3 linked regions of the Macaca mulatta genome follow. The protein of the gene in region 3 purifies or fractionates together with the protein of the main gene of each other region. This does not show direct contact. Links are inferred from orthologs where the notes say so. Each region holds a gene or a part of one and is shown on either strand. Other genes may lie near its edges.

The links. Proteins that work in one complex are often made in the same cells at the same time.
Region 1: the proteins of VAPB (region 3) and RAB3GAP1 purify together in Homo sapiens (affinity purification with mass spectrometry; 4 studies listed by BioGRID and IntAct, counting the BioPlex papers as one, with this or other methods). This does not show direct contact. The link is inferred for Macaca mulatta from reciprocal best matches to the Homo sapiens genes VAPB and RAB3GAP1.
Region 2: the proteins of VAPB (region 3) and PITPNM1 purify together in Homo sapiens (affinity purification with mass spectrometry; 5 studies listed by BioGRID and IntAct, counting the BioPlex papers as one, with this or other methods). This does not show direct contact. The link is inferred for Macaca mulatta from reciprocal best matches to the Homo sapiens genes VAPB and PITPNM1.

The regions. Positions count from the first base shown.
Region 1 is NC_133417.1:26,679,049-26,686,999, reverse strand, and holds the start of RAB3GAP1 (rab3 GTPase-activating protein catalytic subunit), read right to left. Parts: upstream 4,995-7,951; 5' UTR 4,979-4,994; coding exon 4,961-4,978; intron 4,856-4,960; coding exon 4,800-4,855; intron 1-4,799. Other genes in the region: MAP3K19 (mitogen-activated protein kinase kinase kinase 19), read left to right, coding at 6,928-7,013. UniProt on the Homo sapiens protein: Catalytic subunit of the Rab3 GTPase-activating (Rab3GAP) complex composed of RAB3GAP1 and RAB3GAP2, which has GTPase-activating protein (GAP) activity towards various Rab3 subfamily members (RAB3A, RAB3B, RAB3C and RAB3D), RAB5A and RAB43, and guanine nucleotide exchange factor (GEF) activity towards RAB18.
Region 2 is NC_133419.1:6,874,086-6,882,295, reverse strand, and holds the start of PITPNM1 (membrane-associated phosphatidylinositol transfer protein 1), read right to left. Parts: upstream 4,995-8,210; 5' UTR 4,819-4,994; intron 4,817-4,818; exon of another isoform or gene 4,416-4,816; intron 4,019-4,415; exon of another isoform or gene 3,842-4,018; 5' UTR 3,801-3,841; coding exon 3,723-3,800; intron 2,363-3,722; coding exon 2,148-2,362; intron 2,058-2,147; coding exon 1,936-2,057; exon of another isoform or gene 1,905-1,935; intron 1,794-1,904; exon of another isoform or gene 1,731-1,793; coding exon 1,506-1,730; intron 66-1,505; coding exon 1-65. Other genes in the region: CDK2AP2 (cyclin-dependent kinase 2-associated protein 2), read right to left, coding at 6,570-6,637, 6,991-7,123, 7,218-7,424. UniProt on the Homo sapiens protein: Catalyzes the transfer of phosphatidylinositol (PI) between membranes. Binds PI, phosphatidylcholine (PC) and phosphatidic acid (PA) with the binding affinity order of PI > PA > PC. Regulates RHOA activity, and plays a role in cytoskeleton remodeling.
Region 3 is NC_133415.1:111,243,558-111,250,427, forward strand, and holds the end of VAPB (vesicle-associated membrane protein-associated protein B/C), read left to right. Parts: intron 1-598; coding exon 599-775; intron 776-3,781; coding exon 3,782-3,940; 3' UTR 3,941-6,615; downstream 6,616-6,870. UniProt on the Homo sapiens protein: Endoplasmic reticulum (ER)-anchored protein that mediates the formation of contact sites between the ER and endosomes via interaction with FFAT motif-containing proteins such as STARD3 or WDR44.

The DNA.
Region 1 (7,951 bases), on a different chromosome or scaffold from region 3:
ATGCCTGTAATCCCAGCCCTGCGGAAGGCCGAGGTGGGCAGGTCACCTGAGGTTGGGAGTTTAAGACTAGCCTATCACAAATACAAAAAAAATTAGCCCGGTATGGTGACACACATCTGTAATCCCAGCTATGCAAGAGGCTGAGGCACGAAAATCACATAGAAGCAGACATTGCAGTGAGCAGAGATCGTGCCACTGCACTCCAGCCTGGGCGACAGAGCGAGATTCCATCTCAAAAATAAATAAATAAAATTATGAAACCAATAATCTCTCTCCTACCCAAAATAACTGACCTACTTAAATAAACTTTTCCTTTAAATATATTAGGAATTCCCTGATTTACTCCCCCCACCCCAACAAAAAAAGAAAGTATTATTTGGGAACTTGGTTCATGAAACTAAAACAAGTTTTAATGGACAGCTGACAAGAAATTACAAGTAAATATGTCAATTTTAAGGATAACTGACAGATCTTAAAACTATTCACTAATCTTTAAATCCAATGATCAAGAAGGCCTATTAAAAAGAGAACTGAATTTTGACTAGCAACATGTTCAACATCACTAAATGAAAACTGTCAAGTCTCAGTCAAAGACACATTCAGAAGACTTGTTATTACTCTAAGTTGACTTCTTATATAAGCTAAGTATGATGCAATCTAACAGCAACATTGCTCCCTAAACACCTAGGAAGTACTACTAGAGTACTAGAGTTAATTTTAGTCAAACTGTATGAAAAGGCAACAGACTTTTTTCTTCAGTGACATTATGAACTAATATTTATGTTTTAAGGTAGTAATAATAAATCTATGATTCATCTGAGGCTTCTTAGTAAATCCTCTTTAAAATTAAATGCAGTATCAATTCATACACTAATTCATGGCAGGGGGTCAGTCATGACAATTAGTAGGTTTGAAAATGAGTGCTCTAGAAACAAGTTTACATGTTTACCAAAAAGAAAAAATTTAAATATATCCATAGGCAAGCAAAAATTTGCATGAAATGTATACTATATTTATGAAAGTAAAAAAACTGGAAGTTACCTCAATGCCCAACTGCAGCAAACCCTTGTAAATTAATGGTATGTTCATCCTCTCCGAGGACTAATATGCACCCATTAAAAATCATGTCAGTCAAAAGAAAATACACAAAGGCCAGGCACAGTGACTCACGCCTGTAATCCCAGCACTGTGGGAGGCCAAGGCAGGTGGATCACAAGGTCAGGAGTTCAAGACCAGTTTGTTCAAGACGGTGAAACCCCATCTCTACTAAAAATACAACAAAAATTAGCTGGGCACAGTGGCACGATCCCAGCTACTCAGAAGGCTGATGCAAGAGAACTGGTTGAACCCAGGTGGCACAGGTTGCAGTGAGCCAAAATTGTGCCACTGCACCCCAGCCTGGGCGATAGAGTGAGACTCTGTCTCAAAAAAAAAAAAAAAAGAAAAGAAAAGAAATATTAATATTTGATCCAAATAACACAGGTTAAAAGGAAATACGTCCAAAAATTAACAGTAGTTATTTCCTGTGGTAAGTTTACAGGTGATTTTTATATTTTATTCTACTATAAGGCATTATTGTTACAGTTATAGAAGAAATGTTTTTTGTTTTTTTTTTTTTTTGAGACAGTGTCTGAACTCTGTCACCTAGGCTGGAATGCAGTGGTGTAATCACGGCTCACTGCAGTCTTGTCCTCCAGGACTCAAGCAATCCTTCTATCTCAGCCTCCTGGCTAGCTGGGACTACAGGTGCACATCACCACACCCAGCTAGCTTTTGTATTTTTAGTAGAGACAAGGTTTCAGCATGCTGCTCCAGCTCCTCTTGAACTCCTCAGCTCAAGTGATCCGCCTGCCTCAGCCTCCCTAAGTGCTGGGATCAGGCATGAGCCACTATGCGCGGCCAGGAATGTCTTAAAATACTTATTATAAGAATAATGAATTCTATCAGTACTAGCTAAGAGACTTGGACTTTATCCTACAAGTATTGAGATTTGACTAGAAAAACTAAGTAATTTTTCCCTTAAAAGCTCTCAGGAAATGAAGGGTCATTTCCTGATTCCTTATTCTATATTAGGTCCCTTTGTTATAGGTTCTTATAAGACCAGGTTTCCTTCCCTTTCTAGCTCTTACATAAACTCATAATTACACACTTGTATTACTTGATTTGTGTCTGTAATGCACTAGACTGTACATTTAGTAAGAGCAGAAACCGTACCTGTTTTACTAACCACCACATCCCTAAATCCCTAATATGCACTGTGCTTGACACATGGGGATTCAATAAATATTATGTCAATGAACAAACGATAAAAAGAGTTATGGGCTTCTATACAGTTCTCTCAATAAATGATCTACATAGTTCATAACATATTGTATTAATAAGATCTTTCATTTAAAATTAAACTCAAGGTTTGAGACTTCAAAGTCTTAACATTTTTTCTCATGCATTGTAAAATGCACACTACAAACAGTATAAAAGCCAAAAACAGAATTTTCTACTTTGCAATAGTTCTTATAACTACATTAATAATTATTTCCATATGCAAAGCTAAAGGACTTAATATTCCACTTCAGGATATTTTTAACTAAGGGAAAGTGATCATTTTTCCATTCAAAACTCTGATGTTTGCCTACCCCCACCCTCCAAGATTTGAATTACATTTTTCTAACTACCTTCAAGACATCAAATTATTTCAAAATCAACAGGTTCAAAACAGGTTCAAATCTTCTCACTTTGACACTTCCTTATCTTCATTCTTTCAGGCAAAAAACTGCAGTTCACATTTGATTTTTCCCACTCTTAACGTATCATCAAGCTTATTACCTAAATCTTCTCTGAAATATGTTACAATCCTCCCTTCTAGGCTCCCTTTGTATTCCAGTCCACAAATCACCATCCTAATTACGAATCAAGTTAAGTCTCCTGCCATTATTCTACACCATGTCCTAAAACCACTCTCATCATATCACCTGGCCACTCTAAAATCAAGGGTCTCTCACTATTGTCTTAACCAGTGGTTCTTTCTAAGTGCAGTCTCCTGACCAGCAGCATCTGAATTCCCTGAGACCGTGTTACAGAAGCAAAATTTTTAGTCCCACCTCAGACCTACAGAATCAGAAACTCTGAGAATGGTGTCCAGCAATCTATGACTCTGATGTAAAGTATGAGAATCACTGGTCATAGGAATACTGAATCTGAATTCCTGCATTTAGTTTGGGAAGATGTCCATAACCCAATCCCATCTTCCTCATTAACCTTACTTATTTCCCTTCAATAGACAGTCTTCACTCTAGTAAAGATACAAGTCCCTTCAAAGGTTCATTCTCACCTGTGTCTCTGCCCATGTCAGTCCATTCTCATGTTTAACCAACCACTTCCCACTTTCAAGGCCCAGCTCATTTCCTATGTTTTCTATGAAAATATCTCCAACTATTGTAGCCCACAATATCACCCCTATTTAAATAATAATTATTTTAATTATTATTTTTATAGGTAGTATAAATTGGCTTACATTTTAACTATTTGCTGTTTGTTGTTTTTTAAAAATATATGGGTCAAGTTTCTGCTTTTCCCTTTGTAGATAGCTCTGGACACCCAGTACCTGCTCAGTGAAATCTTGCCAGTGTGGTTATGTCTTACTGATAATTTTATGAAGGGTACCACAGGTCTATTATTCCAATAAGGACCACCTAATGACACAACATCCACAAATTTCCTCTCCCAACCAGAAAGATTATAAAATGTTATAACAGCGTAAACACTGACTTCGACACCCAGAAAACTGAAGGCTTTCTGTGACACTCAACAGAAACCTTCTCGATCTAAGCTATCACTCCTCCATAAACTTGGCTTTCAACTAATTTCAGTGATAGAACAGTTTCACCCAGACAGCTGTTCATCTGAGTTTGATAAGCACAGGAAGCCTGGACACAGTACCCACTGAAATGTAACAACTTAAATCAAAGCATTCCAAAGCCATATGCAGACTTTTTTAAAAGGTTATTCTAAAAGACAGGATAGGCCAGGCGCGGAGGCTCACGCCTGTAATCTCAACATTATGGGCGGCCGAGGCTTGAGTCCAGGAGTTCAAGACTAGCCTGGGCAACACAACGAGATCTTTAAAAAATTAGTTTGGCGTGATGGCGCGTGCCTGTGGCCCCAGCTCCTCCTGAGGCTAAAGCGGGAGCGTCACCTGAGCCTAGGAGTTCGAGGCCGCAGTGAGCTATGACCTCGCCACTGCACTCCAGCCTGGGCGACAGACTGAGACTCTGTCTCCAAAAATAAATAAAAATAAAAAATTAAAGACAGCATGGAGATGGTGGGAGTGTGACAGACGGACAACCACCAATACTCTGAAGAAAGACTTCCTCCTGAAAAGGGTATACCAACGTATACGGGATGGGGTGGGGGACGCACCTGCCAAGTTTACTGCTTACGATAATGAGTTAAACGGTAATGAAAACCGGAACGGGTGTTGCAGCCTCGGAAATTGTTCTTGCGAGTGGGTAACAACCAGAAAACCAAAGTCTAAGGAAAGCGGTCTGACGGTAGAGAAAACAAAACTTTGGGAGAGCCTGAGCCTCAAGGATTGGCTGACGGGGGCGGGCCGCGTCTTCCCAGACGCGAGACGCGGAAGAGGCTTGCGGTTGACCAGAGAAGAGAGGAGGAGGGGACCCGGGACCCATGGTATTACCGTTCCCGCAGAAGTGGCGTCACTTGTGGTGTGTCTGGGGTCAGGGAAGCGGCTAGGGGACTCCAGGGCCCATGGGAGCTGGCAAGCAAAAATGCGATTCACTCACCTTTCCCATTCCGAGGCAGTGGTGAAGTCCGTAATCTCAAATACCTCGGATTCGGGCTGCGGGAAGGGGAATAAAAGAAAATGAAATTAAGCCCCAAGGAGACGACATGGAGGAACGAATTTAGATAGTGACTAGGATTAAGTAGGGAGCAAAGAAATCACCTCACTGTCAGCAGCCATCTTGAGGAGCGCCGGGCCGGGCGCTAAGCCTGCCGGGAAGAAGAGCGAAAGAGATGGGGAAGCTAGATGGTGAGTTGCCGTGGGCGGGGTCTGGGCGGGGCTCCTGGCGGCCCCGCCCCCTGACTCCCCGCCCCCTGTTCCTGAGTCGCCCTGGTAAGTAGGAGTGCTGCTTCTTCGTCTGAGTCTGGAAGACTTTAGTCCGCCCTCAACTGGTTAATAAAACTCCGCTGTAGCTGGTTTAATAAAACTTGAAAATTTCCTGTAATGAATACAGAAAGGGAACAGAAGCAAGGTGGTAGGACAAGACCTTAAACTCATGTGGATAAGATTGGATTAAAAGACCTAAAGCCTGTTGGGTTTGTTTTCATTCAACCACTATTTGTAGTTAGTACCAGTTGGCTTACATTGTAACGATTGGGTTTGTTTTCATTCAACCTCTATTTATTGATTGCAGCGCACTAAGCTAGGTGCTGTAATACTCACCACTTCTACCCTGCGCCCCCTGACCCTGTAAGAACTTGCCTAGTTGATTGTCCCGAAATAAAATCATACTTGTTACCTGGTTTCTGGGAAGAGCAACATGCTGTTCAACAAACGCTTCATTTTTTAAGTTGTTGAAGAACAGAAGGGGTGTCAGCTAGCAGTTATGAATTCTCTTCCTGAAATATTTACAAATGAAATGCTGCCACATCTGGGGTTTGCCTCAAAGTAATGGGAAGGAGAAAAGAGTAAGGCTAGGAATGAAATAAAAGTTATGAGTGGATAATTGTTTAAACCAGTGATATACTATTTCCTCTACTTTTGTTTAGGTTTGAATGTTTACATAATTAAAAGTTTTTAAAAATTTAATCTCATTTAATGAGTTTTGCAACCCACAGAGGGAATTTGGAGGTGGGGAACTGGGAGATACAGCCTCAGTGATAAAAATTATTATTGGCTGGGCGTGGTGGCTCACACCTGTCATCCCAGAACTTAGAGAGGCCAAGGCAGATGGATCGGTAGGTCAAGAGATCAAGGCCATCCTGGCCAACATGGGGAAACCCCATCTCTGCTAAAAATACAAAAATTAGCTGGGCATGGTGGCACACGCCTGTAGTCCCAACTACTCAGGAGGCTGAGGCAGGAGAATCACTTGAACCTGGGAGGCGGAGGTTGCAGTGAGCTGGAATCGCACCCTTGCACTCCAGCCTGGTGACAGAGCAAGACTCCATCTCAAAAAAAAAATTATTATTATTATTTATTAATTTATTTATTTTTTTGAGATGGAGTCTCACTCTGTTGCCCAGGCCGAAGTGCAGGGGACAATCTCTGCTCACTACAACCTACGCCTCCCAGGCTCAAGTGATCCTCCCTCCTCAGCCTGCCGAGTAGCTGAGACCACAGGCTCAAGCCACCATGCCTGGCTAGTATTTTGTATTTTTGGTAGAGACAGGGTTTCACCATGCTACCCAGGCTGGTCTTGAACTCCTGAGCTCAAGTGCTCACCCGCCTCAGCCTCCCAAAGTGCTGGGATTATAGGTGTGAGTCACCGCACCCAGCCAAAAATTATTAATCTTAAAATAAGAATGAAAGATATCATTCTTTTTTAGTGATGTAGATAGACCAGATGAGGAAACTAAACATTAGAAGAATTTTGACAACAGGTTGTTACTGCTAGTGCCAAGCCTTGAACTCCTGTCTCTTGATGATCCTTGTGGTTTCTATCCACTACACTAGTGAGGAAGTATGGGTTACTACTGTAGCAATCTTTCCCAAAACATCTCAACTTGCACCTTCATTCACTTACAGGCATTCATTAAACACCCACTACAAGCCAATCACTATGTTAGGCTCCAGGGATATGAAAATGTATTGTAGGTACAGAGTTTGACTTCAAAGAACTCAGGGTCTTGTAGAAGAACTGGAACTTTGCTGCATGAGCAGAGAGAAGAGGTGCCACATATGTCAACATGGCTATTAGCAATGTGGAGGCCAGTGGTAACCTTGACAAGAAGAATCTTGGAGGAGAGCTGAAGGATAAGATAGAGGCAAGCGAGTTAGGGGTGGGGAAGGCTTCTAAGCAGAGGAAATAACTTATCCAGAGGCTCAAAGGTAGAAAAGTCTGATTCATCTAATGAACTGAAGGAGTGTCTTGCACCTAGAACACAGTGTTTGTGATAGAGTTGAAGAGATTGGCATGAGCCATATCACATAGGGCCCTCTACACCAGGGTTGGACTTTATTTTAAGTACACTGGAAATCACTGAAGTGTTTTAAGCAAAAGAGCAATGTAATCCAGTTCACATTTTGCAAATGTCTGGATGCTACACGAAGAATACATGGGAGGGGGCAAAAGAAGAAGAAAGAATAGCTGGAGACTATTAAAACATCCAGTGAGAGAGGGTGGAGAATCTTTGACTAGAGTAGTCAACAGGCAAAGTGAACTAATTTGATATGTATTTTGGAGGTAGGTCAGACAAGACTTGTTACTGTATTGAATTCAGGGATAAGGAAAAGGTAAGAATCAAGGATAATTTTCAGATATCTGGCCTAAGCAACTGTGTGAGGATGGTGCCATTTCCTGAGATGGGGAAAAGTGGAAGGAGCAAGAAAACAAGAGTTGAATTTGGCAGATGTTAAGTTTGACAAGTTTGTCAGATAGTTTAGGGGAGATGTCAAGGAGAAAATTGAGTGTAGGAATAGGACTCAGAGGCAGGACCTGGGGTTGAGATGGTATTTTAAATCACAAGTCTAGGTGAGGTGATTCCAGAAAAGAATATAGAAAGAGAAGAAGTGGCACCTCATATAAAGTCCTGAAGAAATTCTATATTTAGAGAATAGATAGAGGAAAAATATCTAGCAAAGGGAGAGAAAGAATAGAAGTGGCTAGAGAAATAGAAGGCAAACAAAGAAAGAGTGATGGTGTAGAACCCAAGGGAGAAAACTACTTCAAAAGGTAAATATGGACCGCTGCTGAAAAAGCAAGTAAGAGAG
Region 2 (8,210 bases), on a different chromosome or scaffold from region 3:
TTCTGTCCACTCATCCTGCCAGCACCAGGCCTGGCGGTGGGCCCGCAGCATCACCCGACGTAGACCTGCAGGTGCCTAGGCATCGGAACTGTCCCCTCCCACTGCTTCCCTGGCACTGCCGCCACATGCCCAGCCTTGAGGTTGGGTAATGGCTCCCCTGGGGACACCACCCTCCCAGAGCCACAAAGTAGGGCAGGGCCAGTGCAGTCCAGGAATGGGAGTGGAAAGTGGGGCATTTGTCTTCCTGCCTGACTCCCCTCCGCCCACTGCCCTTCCTGTCTCTCCGCACACCCTAACTCTCAGCACCGTCCCCGCCCCATCACCCCGGAAGCAGGGACCGATGCTTGTTCTTGCTTTTGGCTGGCTTCCTGCTGACTTCTGAGGAATTAACAGTTAATTAAGTGTCTAACAGTTAATGAAATTGTTGATGGTTAATGAAGGTGTTAATAGTTAATGGAAGTGTTGGCACTCAATGACAGTTGTGGCGAAAGATGATACCCATTCTGGGATATTTTTATCTTAAGCAGAAGAATAAAGTTAGAAACTCTTAAATATCTAGGAAATAAGGTAATGATGGCTGAATGATAATTATAAACTTCTGTGAGGAGATATATCAGAATCTTAGTAGTGGCTATATGTGGGTGATTTTAATTTTCTTATTTGTGCTTTTTGGTATTTTTCCAAATGCAAGATACGGAGTCCTCATTATTCTATAAGCTGAATTTCCTCACCTGTAAAATGGGAATAATCATCGTCATTACCTGGTGGGGTGTTGTGGGTGTTAAGGGAGATCTTGCACAGAAAGTAATTAGCAAAGGGTCTGTGTGTTGCTCTCACTGTCAGTATTAGCTCTTCATATCTGACTCAACCTCCTCCTAATTTACTGAAGAGACATTTAAAGTGCAGAGATGGCCAGCGCCTTGCTGGAGGAACCATGGGTCAGTAGTGGGACAGAAGCCAGGCCGCTGGTCTCCCCAACTAGGGATCATCCCTCTGTGTGCAGATGACCTGGGCACTGAGGCAGGGCTGAGCTGCAGGCGTGGTGGAGTCAGGTTGAGGGGAGGTGTGGAACTGGGGCTCCTGAACACTAGGGCCAAAGGCTGGAACACTAGAAACTGGGAGTGGAGGGGGGGAATCCCAGAGAGAATGACATCAGAGTCACAGCCTCAGCCTGCACTCCTTAGCATGCTGCCAGTTAGAGCAGGTGACCTTCCTGAGCATCTCTAAGTCTCACCCAGCTCATAGGATGATGGAGAATCTTAGAATCTTAATGGAAGCAGCAGCATTTCTGAAAGTCAGAGTCAGCATGGACCTTGTAGCTCATATTACCAGCTTCCTGCTCTGTGGATGCCTGGCTAGGCTGTGCGGCCACCTCTGCCCTAGTGCTCCCCGCCTCAACTGGAAATGATGGCTTTCTGCTTCTGTGTCCCCAGTGGATGGGAGCATCCCTGGCCCTAAACATGGGCATGCTGGGTAAGCAGGACCTCCCGCGGCTGGGTGCTCACCTACATCGTGGATGAACTGCTCGATCTTGGCTTGCATGCCCCAGTAGCGGAACTCAACCTTGCACAGCTTATAGGCACACATAAGGGGCCCCGTTTGCGCCGCCGTCCGCGCCCAGTCATCAGCCAGTGGCCCTCGGCCCGTCTTGACCGAGCGGTACAGCCGGGGGTCCTCTTCTGCTTTGTACTCGCCTGGAGCCACTGCATCCCGCACGATGTCAATGGTGTCTGAGGGAGTTCAGCAAGCATTGAGCAGTGCCAGCCCCTTTGAGCCCCCGCTCCTGGCACCCTCTTGGGACTGGGTGACAGTTCCTGTCCTTTTGCAGATAGGACATGAGGCTTGGAGAGGGCTGGGACTTCTCAGAGGCTGCCCACTGAGGCAGCCAGGAGACTGAGAGGGGCGCCAGGGTCCCTCCATAGCTCCAGGCCTCACCCAGGATGCGCTGTCTCCTCTCGGCCCCACTCAGGTTGAAGACGTTTGGCTGCTGCCCCCCATCAGGCAAGTAATAGGTCTCAATTTCAATGGAGAATTTCTCCACAAAAGGGCAGGTGTACCTGGGCAGAAGGCATGGGTGAGGCTCACTGCCGTACCCACCAGGGCTGCTTCCCTCCTGGCCCCGGACCACGCCCACTTCACCCACTCACCGGGTTCGGGTGTAGGGGTAGGCATTCCAGGATTCCTCTTCTACCTGCAGGGCAGCCTTGGGCAGCAGTGCCCGGAACCAGCCTGGGATGTGGGAGCCCACGTGGTACACCTTGTGTGTGTACTGCCCGCTGCCCCCGGGCCCATCTGTGTAGGGCCGGTTGGCCAGGATCTCCACGCCGCTGCCCTCACCACTAGACTCCTCCCGGCTCTTTTTCTGTGGCCCAAGGGAGAGCAGAATAGGGAGCTCAGCCCCAGCTTAGCATCTGGGATCCCCAGCTTAGGCTGGTGTTCTGCGCAGTTCTGGGGCCCTGGTCCCAGTCTTTTCAACTCCCTGAAACCAGACACTGCCCCACCGAAGCTCCCTGGGATCGGAATCAGATGCAGCCCAGCCCTGCATGGGGTCTGCAACCCAGCACTCAATTCAGTCATTCAAGTATTCATTGAGTGTCTGCTCCACCCCAGGCAGTGTTTGGGATTCTATCAATTGAGATATATTGATGAATAGAACAAAGACACCTGTCCTCATGGAGCTTACATTCTAGTGGAAGAAGACAGACAAAAGGAAAAAGCAAATTATATGGTGTGTTAGAAGGCGCTAAGTGTTATGGGAAAAGAAAGCCTACAGTAGGGTACAGGTGATCAGGGTTGGGGGCAGCAGTTTTGATCTGATAGTCAGGGAAGGCCTTGCTAAGAACATAAAGTGACCATGGCTTGAACATGACTTTAAGGAGGTGAGGTGGGAGGAGGTGCTCAAGGCAGGGGGAAGCCAGTGCAGCCCTGAGGTGGGAGCGTACTGGATGTGCTGGCGGGTGGCAAGGAGGCCAGGGTGGCTGGCAAGGAAGAAGGGACAAAGAGAGGAAAAGGGGACCCTGGCCCCCTCCCTCTCTGGGAGGCCCAGGCCACCTCCCAATCCCAGCTCCTGCCACACCCCTCACAGCTTGAGAGCCCCCAGATCCTGCCTTCTATCGCTCTGGGGCTCAGATGGCCCTTTCAACCCCGAGGCAGGGTCCAGGCCCTCTTGCTTTATGAGACTCTGGTCCTGCTGTGCTGGGGAGAGATCTGGAGCAGACTCCCCGGGGCCCTGCACCAACCCGGCCACTGCTGAGGGCCTGCCCTGGCCAACTCTTCTCACTGCCCTACCCGAGAGCCCCCTCGCCCTCCGATCCATGCTGCCCTGTCCCTGCTCCAGGTTTGGCGCCTGGTCCTCACCCCATCTCCCTGAGCTCCAGGGGTGGCCAAGACTCTGCACCTCTCCAGACCCCCTCCCGCCCTCCTCGGCCGCGGAGGCCCCCCTCCTCATTCTTGCCGCCTCCTGGGCGCTTTTTCCTTCCCCGATGGGATTACAGATCCTGAGGAGGATTACAGGAGATCAGAGAAGGGCTGGGCACTTAGCGGGTGAGAAGCACCACTCGGCTCTCCTGCCCCTCTCCCCACAGCCCTTCCCCATCCCCACATCCGAAGGGGGCCTCTCTTGCCTCCTCCGGGCTCCCAGCCCGTCTCAGCCCCGTGGCAGGGCTGGCGGGGTTGGCGGGGCTCCACCCCTTGCCCGGGTGCCCTCTCCTTGCCGCCCTCACCTGGATCATGTAGAGCTGGGCCACCTGGTACTCGTCCAGGCTCATGGGCAGCAGAATGTGGTATTCCTTGATGAGCATCCTGAAGGCGCCTGGCGGGCCGCGCGCGGCCTCCGCTCCTCCTGGCGCAGGGCACGGCGCGGCAGTCAGTGCGGGGAGGCTGCGCGCGGCCCCGAGCCCTGCGCGCCGGCCGAGGTGCTCAGGCCACGGGACCCCATGCCCGGGCCCACCGCGGGGGAAGCAGAGGCGAGCCCAGCGACGCCGCCCGCGCTGCCGGGGCCCGGAACAGCAGCTAGGCTGAGCGCTGACCTCTTTTCCGCGCAGCCCCCGCCCCCCGCCCGCCCGTCGCCATGGCAACCGCGTGCTGACGCGGGCCCCCCGGAGCGCCAGGCTCCGGCCGGCGGGCGGGAGGGCCACCTTGCCTCTCCCGCTGCGACCGCGTCCTAACCCCGGGAAACGGCATCTCTCGGGGGCGCGCCCTCCGAAGCCCCGGGGCCCCTCCTTCCGGGCCCGCCTTCCGCGACCGGCCCCTTGGGGACCCGCCCCCTGCATCCCTTTCCCGGAGTCAGCGGGGTCCCAGGTCCCCCACTCTCAGACGTCCACCTAGAGCTTTGTTCCCCGAGTGTCTCTGCGCCGAGTGGCCCCGTGCGCCCAGCATCTCTGCCAGGGTTCCCCATGCCCTGCACCAGAACCTACCTTCGGGGACTAGGAATCCCCTCCGCCCTCCAGATCTGCCTTCTTCACCATGCAGGGCAGCCGGGTCCTCGACCTCCCCCTCCCAGCATCCTTCCTGGACCCCCGGCCCTCGCTGGCTCTCCACGCGCCTAGGCAGCCACCCCGTCCTCTTCTGGGGGGGTGAGCCCTCCTCAGGCTGAGGCCAGAGTGGCTCCACTTGGTATCCCACGGGCCCTGGCCCTGGAGACCCGCTCCGCCCACCTGCGCCCCAGACTGGCACCGAGGTTCCGCTGCAGGCACCCCTCCATCCCCCACTCGCACCCCGCGAGCAAGCGAGAGGCCCCGTTGTCCCCACTTCCCTCTGCTCGCCGGCGTCCCGGTCCCCTGCCGCGCTCTCGGCCCGCCTGCCGACGTCCCGGCTCACCTCTAGCTTGAGGCGGGCGCCCCTCACCCAGCCCGGGCAGGGCCGGCCGGCCCGTGGGTCGGAGCCCGGAGCGCCCCCAGCCCCGGCCTTGGGTTCCAGCGGTGGCCGGACCCTCCCGAGGCGCAGTGCCGGCCCATGGCCCCGACCTTCCTCTCGATCCGCCCGCCGGCGCCCCTGCCGTCCCTCCCCGCAGCCCGCCGCGTCACTGCGGCCGCCCCGCCCCTTTCCTGGGCCCGGCTGGCCCTCCCCACCCCGGCGGGGTCCGGGCAGCCCCGCCTGCAGCGGAGGAGGCGGGGAGGCAGGCCCCTGCCTTCCTTCCCCCGGGCAGTGGGAAAGAGGCCATTGCCTAAATTCTGGCACTTCTTAGTCCCTCAGTGCTGACTGGGGTCCCCAAAGACTCTTAGTTCCTATCTCCACCCTAGCCCAGCCCTCCTGTGTACAGTGACAAGGTGGAGTTTGATAAAGGAGGTCCCAGGCCCACTCTCCTCTTCTCACCCAGTCCTTAGATTTGGGACCCAGGGTAGAGGAAATGCCTCCCCACCAGTCTAGCCAGAAGCTGGCGGCTCTGACGTGCCTCCACCTAGGGCTGGGCTCCAGGGCCCCAGGCCTCTATGGTCACCCAGCTACACGCCCAGGCAGAAGCGGGTTGTCACTCTGAGTGGCTGGGCTAGTCCCTGCATGGGGCCACAAAGCCTCCCCCACCTCTGCCTTCCGGGTCCACAAGTCTGGTCACCCAGCCACCCGGAGTCTGGGCAAAGGCCTCATGAGGCACCGCAAGGCTGGGCTCATGGGATCCCACCCAGCCTGCTACAAGGTGCTGGGGTAGTGACAGCAGCACCCGGCCAGCCCCTCCCCTTGACTGTGAGGCCAAGGGCTGGAAGCAGCAGTGCCCGTTCTCTCTGAGGAGTCAGAGACCTTCAGGGCTGATTCAGAGGCTGGGGTGTTGTCAGGGCATTAGGGCGTTTGAGGGAGTGGCTTACGTGAACTGGCATTTCCATGCTGCCAGGCATCACCGCCAATCCAGAGGAAGCGCCCTCCAGGCCCAGGCTGCCCATAGCGCCAAGGGCTGTGGAAGCAGCCAGGCCCTGTGCTGCCCCCTGGTGGCACCACAGGAAGGCCCAGGGCTCTCAGCGCCACGGCTGGGGCGGAGAGGGCCCGGTTCCCACCTGAGGCTGATGGCCCACAGAGGCAAGTCAAACCCTGTTTAGTCACACCCTCCCCACTCCTAGTCTCCTCTTCCCCTTTCTCTGCCTGGCCCACCCAGGTTTAGCTGAAGAACCAGACCCAGAAAGGCTCAGAGCTGAGAGCACAACTCCAAATCATCTTTTATTAATATAAAAAGGGCATATTTAGCAAAAGACACACAGATAAAAGAGTCACTATGGCTCAGGACACAAGGCAGTGAGGTGCCAGGCCTGAGCCCCTGCTGGGGGAGAAGGAGGCTCGGGACAAAGTGGGAGAAGGGCTGGGAAGGGCTGAGCGGTGGGGACCACAGAAAGTTCCGGTGGGCAACACTGTTGGCAGGTCATGGGTGGGACTCATGGGGACCTCGCTGCTAACTCTTGTTGTGGGGGGATGTCCTTAGTGCTGCCACCTGGAGAGCCGCTCCTTGGTTCCTGGAGGGGACCCACCAAGGGACACAGGACAGGAAGCCCAGGATGGTTAGTGCAACTCGGGATGAAGGCCAGGGAGAAGCGGGTGCTCTGCAGTGGCCGGGAAAGGTCCAGACGCTGAGGCCGGGGCGCTTCCTGTTACGTGCGGGCGTTCCGCTCTGTCTCTGCCAGGCACTCTCTGACTAGGGCCCGAGCATGGATGATACCTGGTGGTGGGGTGGGGTCTCAGCAACCCTCCACAGCCCCACCCACTGCCCTCCAGAGGAGGACCCCTGCCTCCCCACTCCCTTTCCCCTTTCAGCAAGAGAAATTCCAAACTAATGACGGCTAGATGAGATTAGAGGTTTGGTTAATCCTCAAGGTTGCCCTGTAGAAGTACAAATTCCCAGGCTCTTCCCTGGAAATGGACGCAATTTCAATTCGATTCAAAACACCTCTCTGGGTAGTAATACTGGCCCTCCTCTAGGCTTGGCTCAGGTGGCCTCCGGATGTCTTTCTTTCCCTAATGGAAGATAGTCCAGTGTCGGTTTCCTAAGCAGGGCGGCCTGGCCTCACTTACCTCTCTTCAGGCGCTCCATGGCGCTCTTGCTGCCAGCATATGTGGGCCGGATCTCTTTGCCCATCTCCTCTATGACTGACAGCAGGTCCGTGTAGGTGCTCTGGGAGCCCTGGGCGCCGGGTGGCTTCATCGCCTATGTCAAAAGAGAACAGGGCAGTGAGCTCAGGCACCTGGCGGGGAGGGGGACTCCAGTCCCCATCCATAAGCAAGCCTTTGGCCCCACTCACCTGCACGTAGCCCATGGAAGGCGGTCCAAAGTCGTTAAACAGCGGTCTAAAAGGAGCGGCGGCTCCTGGCACTGAGCCCGACGGCGACGGGACGCTTCCTGCAGCAACAGGCGCGAGTAAGAGGTCAGCGCGGGGCAGGGACGCCGCCTCCCAGCTTTTCCAAGCCCAGGACCGGGTTCGCCCGATTCCCTCCAAAGGATGCTTCATTCCAGGCTGATCAACTTCAGGGACAAATCCCTCCCACTGCGCTCCACCTACAAGCCCTTACGTGACCACGCCCACTTCACAGGCCAGCAAACTGAGGCTCAGCGAGGGTAGGCGGCAAGCCCAGTATTGCAGAACTCAGGCCGTCTTCTCTTCGAGACCTCGACCGCCCGGCAGGCGAGCAGGGGTGGAGCTGGATCCTCACCTGTAGGGACCGGGGTGCCCGGCCCAGGGGTGCTGGAGCCAGGGGTGCTGCTGGGGGCAGGGGCGATGGGTTTGTAGGACATCCCCAACTCCTGGGCGCGGCGGACGCCAGCCGGCCGCTCCTCGGGGGTTGGCTGCCGGGCCGCTCAGCCGCGCTCTGATTGGCAAGCGGGCTGCACGCCCCTGGTAAATAGAGGTCTGGCCGGAAGGGCGAGCGGGCACGAATGCTCCCTCACTCCCGATTGGTGGGCGAAGATGTCACTCGAGCCTCCTTATTGGCCGAGACCTGCCCCAGCAGGTCGCAACCGCCGCCGATTGGCCTCCGCCTTCCGGACCTCGCACCTGTCTGCTCCGGATTGGGCGGTGGCCACCGCCCTCCGCAATTGGCGAGTTCGCGGCCCGGGCCGGCGCGCTTTCAATCCGATTAGTCCCCAGGCCCTAGAGGCGGGGCCTCGGGAACCCGGACCCGGGGCTGGGCCGCCGGTTCGCGCCGAGGGTGTCTTCCCGGGCGCGGGCGCCACCCTCGCGCCTCACTAGCGCTGCTTCAGACGTCTGCTCCGCTCTGCCCAGTTTCGGCCCAGCAGG
Region 3 (6,870 bases):
TGCCCTCCCTCCACTGACTGGCTGTCATCCCCAGTAAATCTCAAGAGGGGATCATAGCTCAATCTTGGCAGGGGAAATGAGGGGAGTTTATAACTTCCGAAGATTGAAACATTGCAGACCCTGAGCTTGTTACACTTTCATCCCAGCTTCCAAATGCTAAGTTGGTAAAATAATTCGCCCTCTGTCTACTACTCTTCCAAGCTTCCTACTCCACCAAGACAATCCTAGGGATGTTCACATCTTTGTGGTGACAGTAATTTGTGGCTAATAATTCCTGAGCTTGCACAATTACAGTATGCTAATTTTTGCATGGCAGGAATTTGATAGTGCAATATACACAGCCCTTTTTCTCTTTCTCTGAAGTATTAGTCTCAGCTAAACTTCATTATTTACCCTTATCCATAATTTCTAGGGCCCAGTTGCTTTAGATTATTAAGATACCAAATAAAATGATCCATTTCAAAAATAAATGTGACATTTTACAGTGTGGATGAAATGCTACCACGTTTGGTGTTTGCTGAGAACTACTTTACTTTGCATAAAAAAGTCCTTTATTACATGGTTGGTGACACTTAGGCTTTCATTTGTTTTTGAACAGCATGATGTAGAAATAAATAAAATTATATCCACAACTGCATCAAAGACAGAAACACCAATAGTGTCTAAGTCTCTGAGTTCTTCTTTGGATGACACTGAAGTTAAGAAGGTTATGGAAGAATGTAAGAGGCTGCAAGGTGAAGTTCAGAGGCTACGGGAGGAGAACAAGCAGTTCAAGGTAATAGTTTATTTTCTGGTAATCTACAGAGAACAAGGGCATTTTCACTAGCTTCTTGGGTGGGGAAGTTGATGAGCCAGTGAATGTATAGATTTCTTTTGCTTTTGGTATTTGGCTGTTTTTTTCTCCCCAGGGAGAAATTTCCATGGCTTTCATCAGATTCTCAAAAGGGTCCTTGGATCTGTGTAAATTAAGAACCACTGTCCCTTGATCAGAAGTTTCTCTACTGTTTAAGCTGTTGTCCCCTTGGAAAAAAAAGAAAAACCTCGGCCGGGCACGGTGGCTCACGCCTGTAATCCCAGCACTTTGGGAGGCCAAGGCAGGCCGATCACAAGGTCAAGCGTTGGAGACCAGCCGGGCCAACACAGTGAAACCCCGTGTCTAATAAAAAATTAAAAAAAAAATTAGTTGGGTGTGGTGGTGGGCGCCTGTAATCCCAGCCACTCAGGAGACTGTGAGGCAGGAGAATCACTTGAACCCAGGAGGCGCAAGTTACAGTGAGCTGAGATTGCGCCACTGCACTCCAGCCTGGGTGACAGATCTAGACTCCATCTCAAAAACAAAACAAACAAACAAAACCCCCCAAAATTCACACTTTCCATTAGTGTAAATTGAAAATAAATGTTGAGACCAAAATAGCAGTTTTTATTTTGAATATGCGTTTTTAAACCCCACGCCATCCCCATTCACTTGGGTGAGAATCTTTTTTTCAGAGGGTAAGTACTGACCAATACTCTGATTCAATGCAGGTATAGTTCTGATTTTAGAAGACTCTAAATAGGTCTGGGCAGTTTTGGCTCCTCAAACTGTTGATGTGGTGATGAGCTTGGAGGTGGGGTGCCTCACAGTCGTTAGGAGGTGGAGATTATGGAAAGAAAACCTGAGCCTCTAGCTCGTGGACGAGGCAGTTGGCATTGGCAATGGAAGGTTGTATTGTACTGAGTGGTGAAGGGGGGAGTCAGAGGGTGTTTCTTTTGGCTGGGAGGCTTGTGGTGGTGTGGAAGTTGCTCCCATCCAATATGAAACAGCTCTGAATCTGTGCTGGTCACAGCATCTTTTAGGCCTCTGTTTGCTAAACACCTCTAAGGCCCCTTCCAGCTTTAAAAGTATGAGTTTTCTTCTCTTTTACTCTTGACAATGAGGTAGATACAGGAGAACTGACAACATTTGGGAAATGGCATCATCTTCTTCCTTTGCAGTGATCTTGATTTGCCTCAGTCAGTAACTTCTTTAACGTGTAAGTAAATTGTGAAGCCGACACTACGTTTTGGCTAACAATCTAAGCTATGCCTGAAGCTTCTCCTCGAGTGTATTTCTCTTCTGAAACAGAGTTCTGTGCTGTTTAAAGTGGTAAATAGGTAGAAATAGCTTCTATATAACCCAATAAAATAAATGGTGTAGTTAGCTGGTTTTTTTTAAGTCAGTTGGACACCACCTTGTTTATCACTGTGCAGTGATATTGCCATGCCCCATGAGCAGAATATCCTTAAAATATGATCAGACTAATCTCGACATTAGAAGATTCTTTATCCTGCCAGACGCTGCCTTCTTGTTTTGTGTTGGTTTATTCTGTCATCTGGCCAACAAATGAGGGTCTAATATGTGCCTGGCACTGTGGATTCAAACACAAACAGTCCCTGCCCTTGAGGAGCTCTCTGTTAATGGGATAGCAGGGAGAGACATACACAGAAATTATTATAAGCCAGTGTGATAAATGTCCCACAGAGATAGCAACAAATTGCAGGAAGAGTCAGCTCCGTGGGATTCATCTGCCTGTGGTCTCCAGGACCTACTAGGTACTCGGGTGGATGGGAGAGAATGGAAGGAAACGAAGAAAAGAAAGTACAGCTGGTGTGTGGGGTTTGGGGATGAGTAGATGAGGTAATTATCAAGAGATCTTTCAGCAAAGATGAGTCTGGGCCAGAATAGAATGGCTTGATGCATGTCCCTCTTCAGGGATGTGGGCTTGGCTTTGAGAGCATGGAAATGGCATCATAGATCTACATGGTAACTTGCAGATTCTTAGGAAAGTGCAAGGCAGTTGTGGCAGTGGAGGTGAAGGAAGAAAAAAATTTTCATTTCTTACATATCCATGTAGTTTGGGGACAAGGGGAGGGTGGGGGATACGGTCAGACATCTTTATATGTGTGAAAAAGAATGTTGCTTCTTCAATGAGAAATCTATGCATTAAGTAGAAAATATTTGAGATGAGTGTACCAAGGCCAGTCACATTTTAATATTCCAAATATCATTTGATCCAGCAGTCTGGATGTAGTTCATCAGGTACCAGCTATGTACAGAGCTCTGCATTTGAAAGCTTCCAGATGTCCCACTTTTAGATTTTTTTTTTGATATGGAGTCTCACTCTGTCACCTCAGGCTAACTTTTGTATTTTTAGTAGAGATGAGGTTTCATCATGTTGACGAAGGTGGTCTCGAACTCCTGAGCTCAGGTGATCCACCCGCCTCAGCCTCCCAAAGTGTGGGGATTACAGGCATGAGCCACCGTGTCCAGTTGACTTTGTAGTTTCTTATGATTTGTATATTTATGTCTTGGGAAATGCCTCTCATTTAAAAAATTGATGATTTGATCAAGGAAGGCTATTCATTAGAGGCAGGAAGGACAGAGAGGTTGGGGTTGAAGAGAAGCATCTGAAAGACATGGCCGTAAAGGTGGGTGGGGCTGAGGGTGCAAAGGGCCCAGTTGACCCTTTTAAGAACTTTTTTCTGTAAATCATGGGAAACCAAGGAGCACCCTGTTTAGATTTCTGTTATAACTAGCAGCATCAAGTGGAATGTATGAAAGAAAAGAGGGGACTGTTTTCTCTGTGGCTTCAGGCTAGCCCTTTCCCCTCTGTAGCCTGCAGTTTCTCCATTTGCAAAATGAGGTTGGACCATATCATGTCGGCCAACACTGGGCATGAACAGCCCATCCTGTTAAGCTGTACGGTTGACTCCCCTTTCTGGTGCCTTGGCTTGTCTTTGAAATGTGCATTTGCTCCCATAGGAAGAAGATGGACTGCGGATGAGGAAGACAGTGCAGAGCAACAGCCCCATTTCAGCGCTAGCCCCAACTGGGAAGGAAGAAGGCCTTAGCACCCGGCTCTTGGCTCTGGTGGTTTTGTTCTTTATTGTTGGTGTAATTATTGGGAAGATTGCCTTGTAGAGGTAGCATGCACAGGATGGTAAATTGGATTGATGGATCCACCATATCATGGGATTTAAATTTATCATAACCATGTGTAAAAAGAAATTAATGTATGATGACATCTCACAGGTCTTGCCTTTAAATTACCCCTCCCTGCACACACATACACAGATACACACACACAAATATAATGTAACAATCTTTTAGAAAGTTAAAAATGTATAGTAACTGATTGTGGGGGGAAGAATGATCTTTATTAATGACAAGGGAAACCATGAGTAATGTCACAATGGCATATTGTAAATGTCATTTTAAACATTGGTAGGCCTTGGTACATGATGCTGGATTACCTCTCTTAAAATGACACTCTTCCTCGCCTGTTGGTGCTGGCCCGTGGGGAGCTGGAGCCCAGCGTGGTGGGGAGTGAGGTCATCTCCACACAGTAGTCCCCACATGGCCCACTCCCGGCCCAGGCTGCTTTCCATGTCTTCAGTTCTGTCCAAGCCATCAGCTCCTTGGGACTGATGAACAGAGTCAGAAGCCCAAAGGAATTGCACTGTGGCAGCATCAGACGTACTCGTCATAAGTGAGAGGCGTGTGTTGACTGATTGACCCAGCGCTTTGGAAATAAATGGCAGTGCTTTGTTCTCTTAAAGGGACCAAGCTAAATTTTTATTGGTTCATGTAGTGAAGTTGAACTGTTATTCAGAGATGTTTAATGCATATTTAACTTATTTAATGTATTTCATCTCATGTTTTCTTATTGTCACAAGAGTACAGTTAATGCTGTGTGCTGCCAAACTCTGGTGGGTGAACTGGTATTGCTGCTGGAGGTCTGTGGGCTCCTCTGTCTCTGGAGAGTCTGGTCATGTGGAGGTGGGGTTTATTGGAATGTTGGAGAAGAGCTGTCAGGAAGTGTTTTTCTGGGTCAGTAAATAACAACTGTCATAGGGAGGGAAATTCTCTGTAGTGACAGTCAACTCTAGGTTACCTTTTTTAATGAAGAGTAGTCAGTATTCTAGATTGTTCTTATACCACCTCTCAACCATTACTCATACTTCTAGCACCCAGGCCCAAGTCTGAGCCTAACCTCTCCTTGGGGACCTAGCTTGGAGTCAGGACGAATGGATCGGGGTGCAGAAGGTTAGAATCGAGGGCACCAGCAGTTGGGGGTGGGGAGCAGTGGGAGAGAGAGACTCTTCAGCTAATCCTTCTAGTACTAGTTGAGAGTTTGACTGTGAATTAATTTTATGCCATAAAAGACCAATCCAGTTCTGTTTGACTATGTAGCATCTTGAAAAGAAAAATTATAATAAAGCCCCAAAATTAAGAATTCTTTTGTCATTTTGTCACATTTGCTTTATGGGGGGAATTATTTTATCATTTTTATTATTTTGCCATTGGAAGGTTGACTTTAAAATGAGCTCTATCACTGGGAAATATGTGTTTCATGATTTAAATGTACGTGTGTGTGTGTGTGTATATATATATATATTTTTTTTTTTGGTTGTCTTCAGCTGACAGTATGAAAAATAAAACTGCTGAAAAAGCTGAGCACCTGGTCACCCTTGGCCTTCCATTGCTTTGGCCTTCAGTAAAAAGCAGCCTCGCTTCTAGGTCAGGGAACCATGCCATTGAGACTAGTAACAGGCGTTCTGGGCACAGTCCCACTGTGCACAGGTTTGAGAGGACAAGTTCATCAGAAGGAAGGCAGTCCTTAGAAGTCACATACGTCAAGCCACATTGCTCCTAAGCCTGGCTGTGTTAAGCTGGGTCAGGTGCCTTGAAACAGGAGAAGTGGAAGTCTGTGGTTGGTGAGTAAGGAACTTCCTGTCTTCATGAAAAAAGTTGACTTTGAATCCCAGGTACTCACAGAAATGGTGAGCAGACTTAGTTGTTACCCAGGCACCCATGGATTGCGTTGAGTGTGCAGACAGGGAGGTCACCCCAATATGAATTTGTCTCCAGGTTTTTTCCCATGTGGCCCCCAGTGCTTATAAAAGGAAGTGAAAAGACCGAACTGTAAGGCACATGCCTTCTGCCGCCTGATTTTCCGTGAGGAGACTAAAATTTGCTAATTGTAGGTGCTGCAGCCAGTTAAGTCCTTCTGTAGCTTCCAGGCCCTCATGTCCTTGCCCTCATGGAGAGTGCTTAGATGGTCCCCAACATACGTAGGGGTACAGTACAGTCCCATTACACTAGAGCAGGGCTCTATTTGTTTTTAAAGGATATGGCCGTGTGTTTTGATAAAACTTTATTCACAAAAACAGCCAGGTCATGGGATTTGGCCTGTGAGTCTGTGGCAGTTCTTAAAAAGAATATTGAGAAACTACTCTGTTTTAGACCTTTGAATGTGATTTAGAGTTTTGTGTACATCTAGGAGAAGGTGTTCAGCTTCTCAGAGGATGTGGACATTTTGGTTGCAGCTAAAAATCAGCCTCTGAAGTCTCTCTCCCTTCTAGAGGTTAGCACTTGGTGAACACGTTTGTGGGGTTTTTGGCTGAGTGGCAGAAGGAAAATCCTCAGGAAGAGAAGCAGGTGAGTGATGGGAAGGTTGGTTATTTTATCAGTCATCCTGGCAGCCAAAAATGTGCCGGGAAAAGAAAGAACGTGGAGCAGGCATGGCTCCTGGAGAACTTGGACATGCATGCACATTTAGGGTGTCTTTCCTAGAATTACATAATGAAAACAAGAGTAAGGCAAAGAGGAGGTGAATATGGGGCCTGTCACAACGGCCTGCCCTGCCCCAAGAGGTTAAGAGTCGGATAATCGGGATGAAACTGGCATGGAAAGAGCGAGGCTGAGGAGGGTGCTGCCGGGCAGTGTGCATGGGGGAGCTGCTGCCAGACTGCCCTCCAATCTGCTCCTGTGTTACTGGCTCCACGGCACCTCAGAGAGGGCAGCCTTGGCTTCGGAAATGCCAGTCATAGTGCTCACAAATGCAGAAG